Yarrowia lipolytica: one gene and its partner. The protein of the gene in region 2 interacts with the protein of the main gene of each other region in a pairwise test. Links are inferred from orthologs where the notes say so. Each region holds a gene or a part of one and is shown on either strand. Other genes may lie near its edges.

The links.
Region 1: the proteins of YALI1_B24424g (region 2) and YALI1_A09372g interact in a two-hybrid assay, tested with the Schizosaccharomyces pombe proteins (2 studies listed by BioGRID). The link is inferred for Yarrowia lipolytica from reciprocal best matches to the Schizosaccharomyces pombe genes cyr1 and gpa2.

What each region holds. Positions count from the first base shown.
Region 1 is NC_090770.1:935,064-939,087, reverse strand, and holds YALI1_A09372g (uncharacterized protein), read right to left. Parts: upstream 1,875-4,024; coding exon 546-1,874; downstream 1-545. Other genes in the region: YALI1_A09397g (uncharacterized protein), read left to right, coding at 1-267. UniProt on the Schizosaccharomyces pombe protein: Alpha subunit of the heterotrimeric guanine nucleotide-binding protein (G protein) involved in glucose-induced cAMP signaling.
Region 2 is NC_090771.1:2,437,954-2,446,034, forward strand, and holds the start of YALI1_B24424g (uncharacterized protein), read right to left. Parts: upstream 6,026-8,081; coding exon 5,976-6,025; intron 5,306-5,975; coding exon 4,476-5,305; intron 4,426-4,475; coding exon 1-4,425. Other genes in the region: YALI1_B24446g (uncharacterized protein), read left to right, coding at 6,703-6,744, 6,789-6,998. UniProt on the Schizosaccharomyces pombe protein: Acts in glucose-induced cAMP signaling by catalyzing the synthesis of the second messenger, cAMP to activate PKA signaling and repress sexual development and gluconeogenesis.

The DNA of each region.
Region 1 (4,024 bases), on a different chromosome or scaffold from region 2:
TTGACACCTCAACAGGCAGAAATGGAGAGTAAGCATATCCCACGACGACTAAATCGTGGAAGATCCCATCATGGATACGTTCCAGGAGCTGTTCATCCCTATTCTAGAGCTCCAATTGCTGGACAGACCCGAGAAAGATCACCCACACCCGATTTTGATACTGCCAGACCCCAAACAGATGCCCCGATAACGAAAGGGGAAACAAAGAACTGGTGGGACCAGTTTTTGTACACCTGGTGTTGCTGGCCCGAAGGTGACGACCTATGAAGAAGAAATGTGGGAAGAATGGGAAAAGTGAACGAATTCATCAAAATCCATAGCGCTGATACTTACTTCGAGAACCAATACATTTGTGATGTAATAAACCATTGTTCTACTGTTGAAAGGTTGTTTTTTCCAAGATCCGCGTAGCAAATTTGTGCTCTCTGCCTCCAGTTCACCTGGCTGTTATACATACGGTTCTACGTTACATCATCAATATATATATATATACAAATTAGTAATAATGGAAGTTATATAATGGTACTGTACAGTCAATGTCAACATCAAGTCAGGATACCGGCGTCCTGGAGAGCGTTCTGCAGGATGGTCTCTTTGATGGCAGCAAACACCAGTCGAATGTTGGAGGTGTCAGTGGCCTGAGTCAAATGAGGGTATATGTTGAGTCCAGCCCGGTTCATTTGGGTAAAACGCCACAAGATGTACTTGGCACCCTTGTTGATGTCGTTTCCGCCCATGTAATCAGGGAACTGGTTCTCTAGGGGCGAAAGAGGAAGTTTTTCGGTGAAGACATCAATCTTGTTCAGGAAGAGAACGACAGAAGTTCGTACAAACCAACGTGAGTTGATGATCGAGTCGAACAGAACCAACGATTCGTTCATTCTGTTCTCCTTCTTTTCCTCCAACAGAACCTGGTCGTACTCGGACAGAGCCACACAGAAGATGATCAAGGTGACATTCTCAAAGCAGTGAATCCATTTTTTTCGTTCTGACCGTTGTCCTCCCACATCGTACATGTGAATCAAATGCGAGCCCAGTCGGAATTTGGTCTCATAGATACCAGTAGTTTTTATTCGGGCTCGCAGAATATCGTCCTGAGTGGGTATGTACTGGGCTCCTCCGAGACGCTGTAGGTTGTGGAAAAAGTAGGGGCCCGAGTCCATCAGGTAGAACTGGTTTCGCAGACCCTTGAGAAGCTTCTCCTGCACGACCGCAGTCTTCCACAGTGCATCCAAAGCATCCACCAGCTCTGGGCTCAGGCTGGTGTTGTTATCATTGGGGTTGGGGGTGTCCAAGATGATCTGGAACTGCTCCACGCCTCCTCTACCACCTGTGTAGACTGGGTGCTCTGCCTCATTGACCTTGTCTTCCACAAAGTCAAAATCGTTGGCCTCCATGGCCTCTGTCTTGTTGCTGTGGCCAACCTCGGCAGCAAGCTCCTCCTGCAGTCCAAACTTATCAACGGCGGCCAGCAGAGCCCGACCGCAATCCAACAGGTTCTTATAGATGGTGCTCTTGAACAGATAGAGCTCGGAGTCTGTGTAGCCATTCTGGTGGATGATTTTCATCTGCTTGATGATGGTGGACTTTCCGGACTCTCCGGAACCCAGCAGAAGCGTCTTCACTTCCTTCTCTTCATCTGGCGTGTTGGCGGTGTCGTTAGTGGCGTCGTTTGCACCAGCTCTGGCCTTTGGTGCGCTGTTCGGGGTTGTAGTTGTGTTGTTGGCCGTGCTGGTTGCGTTTGCATTTGCGGTGGCGGCGGAATTCGTGTTTGCTGTCGAATTTGACGCCGTATTAGCTGGTTTCGCCTTCCCTGCCGTTGCGGAGGGTCCGCTAGGTCCAGGCTTGACCTCCTTCGAACTCGTGCATCCCATGGCGTCTTGTGGAGTGTCTTGCGTATTAGTGTGCGGCTGGCGTTATTTGTCGGGCGAATTAATGCGTGTGGGTGTATATGAAGCTCGTAGTGTCCGTATCACGTATCTGAAGATTGATCCAACCACCCCAATGACCTCCTTATCCTCGAGTGGTGATGTCAGGTAGGGAATAGTATTATGTACACAAAAGCAATCCCTATCTGTTTTGGTCCCAACGGAGCTTAATTGGACCACTCCCAAAAAAAGTGCACCTCAAAAACACAAAAAGCCAAAAATGAGGCCCCACTAAGTTTGGAATAGGGGCCCAAAACAACATATCAGCTTACAAATGATTTTCAAGTGAGTTTTGCAGAAGGAGACGAGGACATAAATCTGACCCCAAATAAGCCAAGAAATACCAACAACCCAAGAAAGCGGCAAAGACACGCATCCGCCTTTGCGTTTCGCGGACCTCGAACACGAACGACAGTGTTTTGCACAGCCCTATCGCGAGCCTCGTCCCATGTTTCGGAGATAGGAATGGAGAATTTAAGGTTGTAAGAAAACTCCACACAACCTCCGATACCTCGAGATTCTGAGCTTGGTAACTACATACATCCAAGCAAGGCGTGACTTTTGAACCCAGAATATCTGATTTCGTTGGTACCTAATCTCCTGAGGGTCATTTCCGGGGTCCGTGTCGGCGCCGTTATTATTTTTATACGCGAGTCTATTTCTAATATAGTCATTTATTATTACTTTGACACCACCAGCGCGCCAGTTGTACGCCCCATAGCGTGATAATGTCAGACAGACTAATTCTCACGCCCACATCATACCTGCCACCTCTTAAACACATAGATGTGAACAAGTAATTGCGAATACAGTACAGTACAGTACTTTATGATTAATGACTCTCTTGTAGAGGGGGACAACCGTGCCGTGTCATTGCATTTTCAAGTCATCCGTAACAAGGTTCCAAGTCACGAGAAACCATGCACACTCCATTAATCACGTGATTTGAAAAATTCCACCTGCATCCCCCATGTGCCTCGGTTATTGGTCAATATGGACAAGGGCAATATGGTGAATAGGGGCATGACAATGAGAAGTAAAGTGGTGGTGCTTAAACCACGTGACTACTCGATGTGTTTTTTTTCGTTATGGGGGGTTTTCTGCTGTCTAAAATCTCCGGTCTTGGGCGGAAAAACTTCAACTGTACAAGGGACATTGGTGAGTCCGGGCAGAATGAATGGTTCGTTGTCTTTTACTGCCGGATGGACGGTTGTTGCCAAGAGATTACAATTGCACCTATACATACCTGCGGCTCATTGTATGTGCAGTATGTACTACAGGTAGTGGCTGGAGTTGTGGCTCAATCGTGAAGGTCTTTTGATGTCATTTTGCAGGTGCTTGTAGCTGTGAATCAGTAACTCGAAGTTTCACCCGTTTCTCCAATCAATGATGAAAGTGAGAGAGTAATGGCACTCTTACACCTTGCTGCATGTAGTGTATCTTGAGTGAAGGCAGTTACACAGGACAGCGTAGACAGTCCAACTCTTGCCTGGCCTGTGTCCTTCTGCATAACAAGTGGTACGCTGATTGGCGCAGTCTTTCTTTCTTCTACTTATGGTACGAGTACGAATACGGCGGCATCTGTTTGTGCATGCACTTGGACCCTACAGAACAGACATGGATGGTAGCAGCAGTTAGAGCGAGAGAGAGAGAGAGAGAGAGGGAGAGAGATGGACAATAGATTGGTACAGTAGCTACTGGGAGAGGTGTAGAACACAGGCCAGAAAAACGTACATTCCATGCAAAGTGGAATCGAGGCTGAACAAGTTACCTATTGGTCCCTTGTATGTATAAGTACCTTTTGGAACCAAAAATCACATTCGTATCTGTTTTTGCCGAGCAGACGTCAAAAGACCCTACAAGTAGGGGTCTCTCCAGTCTTATATGTACAACAAAGTACGAAAAATCAACTTCAATATTTGCGGGAGACAGCTACTGTGCAAACTGGCGTCTCTACCTGTCTGTCTGGGAAGTTCTTCAATTGGAAGGGACAGCTTTAGCCGGTCTTCCGAGGTCCCTACAGTACAGTACATTACAAGTACCAGTTGTCTTTAGTTGTGTAATTCCGAAACTACCGAGGCCGAAGCAGAACTTGC
Region 2 (8,081 bases):
GGAAAACAACATTTCCTTCGTCATCTCGGACCTCGTAGCCCTCCTCTGATTCCAGAATCTCCGCAGGCCAGTCAGCGGCCAGAAGCTGCTGCTGGACAGAGAAACACCACAGGAGAGCAGATGTGGGCGTCGTGAATGACACCATGAATGCATCTCCTTCCGTCTTGACCTCGTAACCCCGCAGAATTCGCAGCTGACGTCGCATGATCGCGTTATGAATTTTAATGGCTGATCTCATGGCAATGGGATACGTCTCCCATAGCAGAGTGGAGTTCTTGATATCCGTGAAAACCATGGCCATCTCTCCTTCAGGCGGATCGACTTCAGAGCCTAGACGAGCGAGATTCGAGTCCTCAGGAAGAAGAGACTTGTCCCGTCGTTTTCGGTATGGCTGGAACAGCTCGTCTTCACCAACAGGAGGCAGACCGGAGATTAGGTTGGATTGGTTGGCTGTTCGTCGCTTCACTCCAATACCCAGCACCATCACCATGAGCTTGTCTGATGCGCCGTACGAGATGGCAAAGTCTCGCAGCTTAGCCGCAGCAAGCATGGGGTCCTGAGACTCTGTTCGAGCAATGTCGACGGCCGTCTCGTAGCTCATCACCTCCCACAGCTGCTTGGATCCGATAATCAGCAGCTCATCGGAATCGTTGAGCTCCATTGACACGATATCGGGCCGAGCCTGGATGTGGGGGATGAGATTGTAGAATCCAAAGGCTCGAGACACATCGCAGACACCGTCCAGCTTACCGTGAGCGGAAATGAATCCTCCTCCGGCTCGAACTCGGCCAAGCTCCTCGGGCTCGGTGGGGTCGTGTCGGGTGGTAAGCAGACGATGCTCTCCAGTGCCCTTAGACAGAATGCACATGGAGTCACCAACGTTGGCCACGTACAATTTGTTGTCGGAAATGTAGCAAACTGTGGCACAGGAGCCGGTGAGGCCATCCTGCTTGTTGAGGTGCGTGGTGGTACTACTTCGATGAGCAGTGTGCGACTCCACCGTGGTCAGAGCAGCGGCACCAATGTCTCTGTTGGCAGCCAGGAAAGACCGCTTGAGAGCATCTTCAATGGTGTCGTCGTCACGCATCTTCTTGAGCTCATCCTGGAGCAGGGCACCAAACATCTCTTGTAGCAACTTGGCAACCTTGTTGCCGGCCCGAGGGTTGATCTCGTTACGTCCATCAAACATACCAACAACAACCTCATTCTCATTGCCCCGGAAACGCTCCACAACCATGTCGATAATGGACAGGTTCTCGTGTTGGCCTAGAGAGTCAGCCATGCCATAGGGCATGTTGTTGAGCTCGGATCCGTACGTACGAACTCGACAGTTCTCCGTCTGATCAGGAACCGAGGGGGTGGTCAGGGTGACATCCATCAGACCGAGGACTCGGAGCTGAGAGAGAACGGTGAAATCAGAAAGATTCTTCTGTTCCGTCCCATCGCCATGCCGCATTAGGTTGTTGGCAGCAGACTTGATTTCCAGTCGCTTGTTGCCGCTGAAAGAGAGGTACTTGAGATCCAAATTCCAGTTCCAGTTCCAGTCATAAGGCCAGTTGGAAATATTGTACTTGAGCTGGTTGGACGAGACATCAAGCACAGTCAGATGCAGAATCTTACCCAGCTCGGCTGGCAGAGAGTGCAGCTTGTTGCCGTTGACATGGAGAGTTCGAAGAGTCTTGATGTTCTCGAAATCGTCAGCGGGAAGAGATGTCAGGTTGTTTCCAGACAGATACAGCTCTGTGAGCCGGTTGAGACGTCTGAGGGCTCCATAGGGAATATCCATCAGCTCGTTGTAACTCAAGTTGAGCACCTGCAACGAAGTCAACAGTGATAGCTCCTCAAAGCACTCGTCATTGAGCCGGTTGTCAGCCAGAGACAGAATCAACAGAGAGTTGGCGAGTGTAGTACGAGACGACACAGGAGCATCACGTGCAAAGGTCATGGGAGAAGTACTCATCTTGGGGCTGTTGTACGCCAGACTACCTCGTCTGCTGGTCTCCCCGGGGCTCAACGTCGAGGTGATGCTGAAGGCCGAAGGACGTCGGATTCGCATCTCGTAGTTGCTGTCGAACTCGCTCTCCAAGTTTCGGTGGAAAGCATCGCCTGAGGACACACTGGACACGTGGAATTTGTGCTTGGGGAACGAGTCGAGCAGATTGGATGACACGTTGAGAGTCGACAGGACGTTGAGGTTCCAAATCTCGTCGGGCAGCTTTCGCAAGTTGTTACTGTGCAGATCGAGGAACTGCAGAGTGGTCAGCTGGCCGATAGAAGAAGGAAGCACACTCAGATTGTTACCGACAGCGGACAGGTAGATCAGCTTTCGCAGAGAACCAAGAGAAGAGGGCAGAGATACGAAATGGTTTTTGTCCAGCACCAGCTTCTCGAGGTTAGGAAGTCGATCGAAGAAGTTTTCCGGCAGTGTAGACAGCTTGGCCTTGGAGAGATGCAACACGGTCAAAGTATGAAGGACATTGGACACATTGACCTCGGTGAAGGGGTTTCTGTCAAAGTAGAGACACTGCAGCGACTCGAAGTTGTGCTCGTAAGATGTAATCTGGTTCTTGGAAGCATAGAGCACTTCCAGAAGAGGCAGAGATGATAGAGCATCAACGTTGTTGAGCCGGTTGTATCGAACATCCAGTTCCTTCAGTTGCACCAGATTCTTGATGTCGTTGGGCAGCTTGCTGATGTAGTTGTTGTTCAGCACCAGTCGCTCCAAGTTGACCAGCTTGGAAATGCTGGCAGGAACACTGGACAGTCGGTTGAACGAGAGATCCAGCTCAATCAGGTTGGACAGGTTGCAAACGGCCATGGGGAAGTCCGTCACATTGTTGTTAGACAGAGACAGCCGTCGCAACTGCTTCAACAAGGCCACGTTGTTGTTGATTCGAGTCAGCTGATTGCAGCTGAGATCCAGTGTCGTCAATGCAGACATTCGCTCAAACCGAATCTGAGCCACGTCCTTGATCATGTTACGACTCATATCAAGATACTCCAGGAAGACTGCATGCGAGATGTTGACCGGAAAGAACCTCGATCGGTTTCCAGAGAACCGCAGATTCTTCAGGTTAATGCAGGATTGAATAAAATCAAGCGGAATGCTGATACTGGGATTGTTGGAGACATCCAGATACTCAATCTCGTTAGAGAACTGGTAGAAGATGATTGGAATAGTCTGCAACTCTAGGTTCTGGAGATCAGCATGCACATAATCACGGGACATGATGGCCTCTTCCTCAGGAGTGAAGGTCTGGATGGAAGAGGGCAGGAAAAGGAATCGGCACAGATAACTCAAATCTTCTCTTCCAACTTCAACCAGTCGATCCTTCTCGGTGTATCCCATGAACTCGAGTAGAATTTTCTGGTATAGCAGCGGCTTCTCCAGCAGATCGAGCACACGGGTCAAACCGCCAATGCGAACACACAGCTGGTACCCCTTGACAGACGGCAGGAAGAACTTCTTACCGAGAATCTGAATCAACTCAGAAACAGTGGTTTCCAGGGGACACACAATGGTTCCAAAAGAGTCATCCTGTCTGAAAATACGGACAAAGTAGTTGATTGGCGGCTTTCCTGGGATGTGTGTGCTCACGTTGGTTTCCAGTCCGTACTGCTCACGGGTGGGGTCAGCGTAAGTCTCTACTATCTCTTCAGGCTCCAGTTTCGAACCTCCGCCTGGACCAGTATCGGCGACTGCCCAAGATTCTGGCGCAGACCATTGGCCTGCATTCGTCTGGGGCGCAGTGTCATCATTTCCAATGAATGACAAATCGGTTCCTACGCCAATGACTGGAGCAGCCGTAGTGCCGGATGCATTAGCAGTGTTGACCACTGGAGTTGGAGATGCGACGCCAGACACAGAGTTGTGGTTGCTGTTGTTGGCGTTGTTGGCGTTGTTGGTGTTGTTGTTAGTACTGACGGATGAGCGGTCGCCCACCATGGGGCCACCCATGGGCCCAGAGATGCTGCCTCCGGGCAGAACAGGCATACCGGGAATGGAGTCGGCGGCCGCTGAGCCTGTTGAGGCGTGTCGGGGGAGAGCCGACGAGTTGGCAGAGCTCGAAGCGCCTCCGTCCTCGACAATGCCAGCCATGGAGTCCAGGTCAGTATCGAGATTGTAGAAGTTTGCATTGGCAAGAGAGGGTCGCTTGCTGATCATATTGAGCACCTGCTCTCGCGACGAGGAAGCCGTATGGTCACGAGACGACGAGGCCATGTGGTCACGCGACGAGGTCGACGAGTTTCTGTGCGGGTCCAGATGGGACACTGTGCTTGCTGAACGCATTGTGGGTTGTTGTTTTGGGGCATGGGGTTCCGGGACCGACGCCACAGATGCATTTCTGAACGGTTGTGCGTGGGACTCCAACGGGTTGATAGGTCCATCGAAGGTATGGCTTTTCTTCTTCTTGTCCTTGTGATCTGAGTTAGTGCTTGTGGATAATTTTGCGCCATTGGTTTCGGATACTCACGGAAAACCTTGCCAATAATGTTCTTGGAGCTCTTCTTGGCCTTGTGTGCCAAGGCAATGAGAGTGTCGTCTTCATCTCCACTAGGCAGAGTGGAGTGAGACGTGGCTCTGTGGATGCTATTGGAGTCGTCGAAATGGTTCGACGTGGCCGCCTTGTGGAAGATTCCGTGATCAGGTTTGTTGAACGACCGAGCAGCTCGAAGCTGGTGTCCATCACCTGGGTGAGACGTTCGCTCTGTGCGTTCACGGCTGTGCTCCGACCGGCTGTCGTCATCATCATGCTTTTTGAAGAAGAACATTGATTTGGACGGCCTCGGCAGCTTCACCTTGTGATGCTTCTTGGACGACGACGACTGACCATCGGAATCAGCGCTGGTGTCGTCAGACACAAACAGATCCATGACCTTTTGCGGGATACTCTTTTTGGAACCAGTGGAGCCGGTGGTACCCTGAGAGGCATAGGAGGGGCGTCTGTCGACGTTGGTGCTGATCGGAGTGACAGCACGCGACCCACCAGCTGAGGGTGTGTGCGTTCCTACTGGTGTGATGACAGTGGGTCGCTCTGGGGGAGGCCGTTGCCCTGGTGGAGGAGGTCCTGGAGCTGAGCGGGTCAGAGATGCATTTGCTCGAGCGTGAGGATCGAGGGTGGAGTAGAGAGGGTCATCGATTGACGAGTTGTTGTTGCCGTGGCCGGGTTCCCATTTCGGTGCAAACTCGTAGTCCGGATCGATGCCTGTGAATGCTGTTCGGGAGGTGGGGGATGGGGGGAGTTCATCATGATCGTAGGAGTTGGATGTGGGCGAAACTCCGTCGTTGGAGAATGCGTTGAGGCTGGGTTAGTAGGGAACTACTCGCCAAATTTCAGGAGTAAACAAGTGCTGTACCAATGTCAGAAGTTCTAGTGTCATCGAAGGATGGCTGAGAGATTGCCCCCGAGACAGTACTTCAGGGTAGGCAACGAATGAACAGAAAACAGCAGATGAGTAGCAAAAAGAATTTACCAGTAACTGTCAGCGACTACAGACACCAGCAGCCAGATTGGCATCAACACCACTCCGCCCTCATCGCCACTGGGGCCTGTAGCTGTGATGAGCCAAATACAGCAGAAGCGGCGTCAGAACAATGAGAAACAGCCGGCTGGTCGAAATACCTCCCACAGAATCAGTACCACTCCCTGTGAGACCAGTCAATCAAACAAAGGCACAGCTTTTGTCGTCGTTCAATGGCTTTTCTGCCTTCCCAGCAATTGCCACAGATGTGGCCCTAAACAGAGCCACAGGTCGGTTAACAAGCTAGTGACACGGACTGGAGCTGTGTCGAGCTGATCCGGTTCGTCTCGTTTAACACCTTGCAGTTGCTACGACCGTTCAATCGACACGTGTCTGGCCTGGTCTGCGGCTCTCTGGTTCGTTCATCTCTCTGTGGCACTATGATGCACGGGCTCAATTGTGTGGATAGCGCGCAAATCCGCCTGAGACACCGTCGGGTCCGTTGTACTCACCGGTTCCAACCCTCGCGAGGCTGGCTGTTGCCGATATCGAGTGGGTCCATTTGTGCGGACAAGTCGTATGCCGGTGACTATGTCGACATGCACGGAATGGGAGTAGTTAATTTGTTTTGCAGGCAACGAGTACCGTGAACCTTAATCTGAGCCTACGACTGTAGCGAGTGGGTTGAGAAGCGCCAGGAGTAATGGGGGGGAATTCACATGAAATCGAATAAAAGGATTGTAAAAGAAATAAAAAAGGGAGTGGATTTGGGCGAGAAAATATACTGTTTATTAATCCTCACTCTGCCTCGCGAAACGGGCCCCATAACTCCCACAAACCTGCACCGCCTACAAGGCACAAACGGTGCAGCTAACATGTGATGACAGGAGAAAAGATGATGTATAGAAGAGTCTATAAAAAGGAGTGCGTAAAAAAAATGACGGGGAAAAAAAAGCCTGTACAAGTGCTGTACAGTACTGTAAAAAGGGGCATGAGGGTGGGTGTCTTGTACCGTATTGTACACACAGTACAAGCACATTTATCATCCACATAAACGCCTCAGATAGATATCAGATCTTTCTATTGCAATATATATATATCTCATTTATGAACCTCGCCTAGTAGCTTGGAACCTACACGTGGCACACACTCACCAACAAACAACAAACGAAGGGTGTCTTGGTCTTGTTTTTTTTGTGAGTGGGTGACCAACAAGTCCATCCGTATCTCGTATCGAGTATGTGTGTGTGTGTGCATGTTGGGCAAGATGGGAGTGTGAAAGTTGCCAAAGTTGAGAGCATGCCTGGTTGGCCAAGAACAAGGAGGGCCATTGTAGGACTATAAAGGGCGGTGAATTAATCGACACAAAGACCGCTACTTGTAGGGCCTTGGTCGCGGCGCACGAAGATCCCGATTCGGCCTTGCTGCTGCTGCTTTTCTTACCCACAAAAAGAAACCCTGGAGAGAGAGAGATGTGTTTGTTTCGACTGTACCTCAACCTCAAGCTTCACACCTCAGACCTGAAAGGCTGCTAAAATTGAGACGGGAAACCGAAGGGTGGGGATGTGCAAGTAAGGGTCTTTTCTGCTGCAAATATGGGGGCGGCAGGCGATAATTTAAGAATCCGAGTGGGATAATATCTGGGTAAAAGGCTGCGGAAATGTCGCCAAAACCAGGACAAACCGGGGGATTATCCGCACAATTGTATACGCTCTGTAGACCCTGCTGGACGTGATCACATGGCCCAGGGCCGGGATCGTGGACAAGCGGAATATATGTAAGCACAGGGATTGACTTGGCACGTGTGGATCAAGAAAGCAACAAACGACAATCAGCGCGCATGACACTCTTGGTTCATCCGTAGGTCCTGTTCTAGACCCCAAGCTGTCTCAAAACGGACACGCTGTTTCACATTGAACGACAAAATCGCGTTCATGGTGATATTAACGAAAATTTGCGCGGCTATCAGCACTGTAGTACAAGTACGGTACGATACAGTACCGGTAAGCGGAACCAACGAGCCGTATTTATACTACAGTATGATTACTGTAGTGTTGTTGACTGTATTCAGACACTAAGGATACTAATTACTATTTGTAGTACATACAGCAGATGGATAAGACAGCCTAAAGTAAAGTACGAGTACGAGTACGAGGAAAGGAAGTCAGCTTCTATGTCTAGGTAGATGGAAAGAGGAACTATCTCTGTAAGACTTGAATGAGACATAAGAGGCAGTGAAGAATAAATCGTTGGGGTTCTTTTGTTACTTCTGTTGGCTTCTCACATGCCTCTACTTGTAGTATGTACATACTGTACGAGTAGGAGTATCGGAATATATGTACTGCAGTGACCTTCCCTTTATCTACCCCTACTGTTTAGAATCATTTGGAGGTGTTGAGGTGATTCTGTAGACTGTGCCTTGGGGATAGTTCTATTTTGGCTTCCTTCACATCCACTGGTTTCAAGTACAAATACGAGTCGACTGCTACGCTGGCTCCACCTCTAGAGTCTTCTTCGCACAATCCTCATTAGTTTTTACAATCATTCTCGTATAATATGAGAAGCACAGATGGTATATTTTCCAAAAAAAAGCACTCGCCCTTAACCTGTGGTGGCTG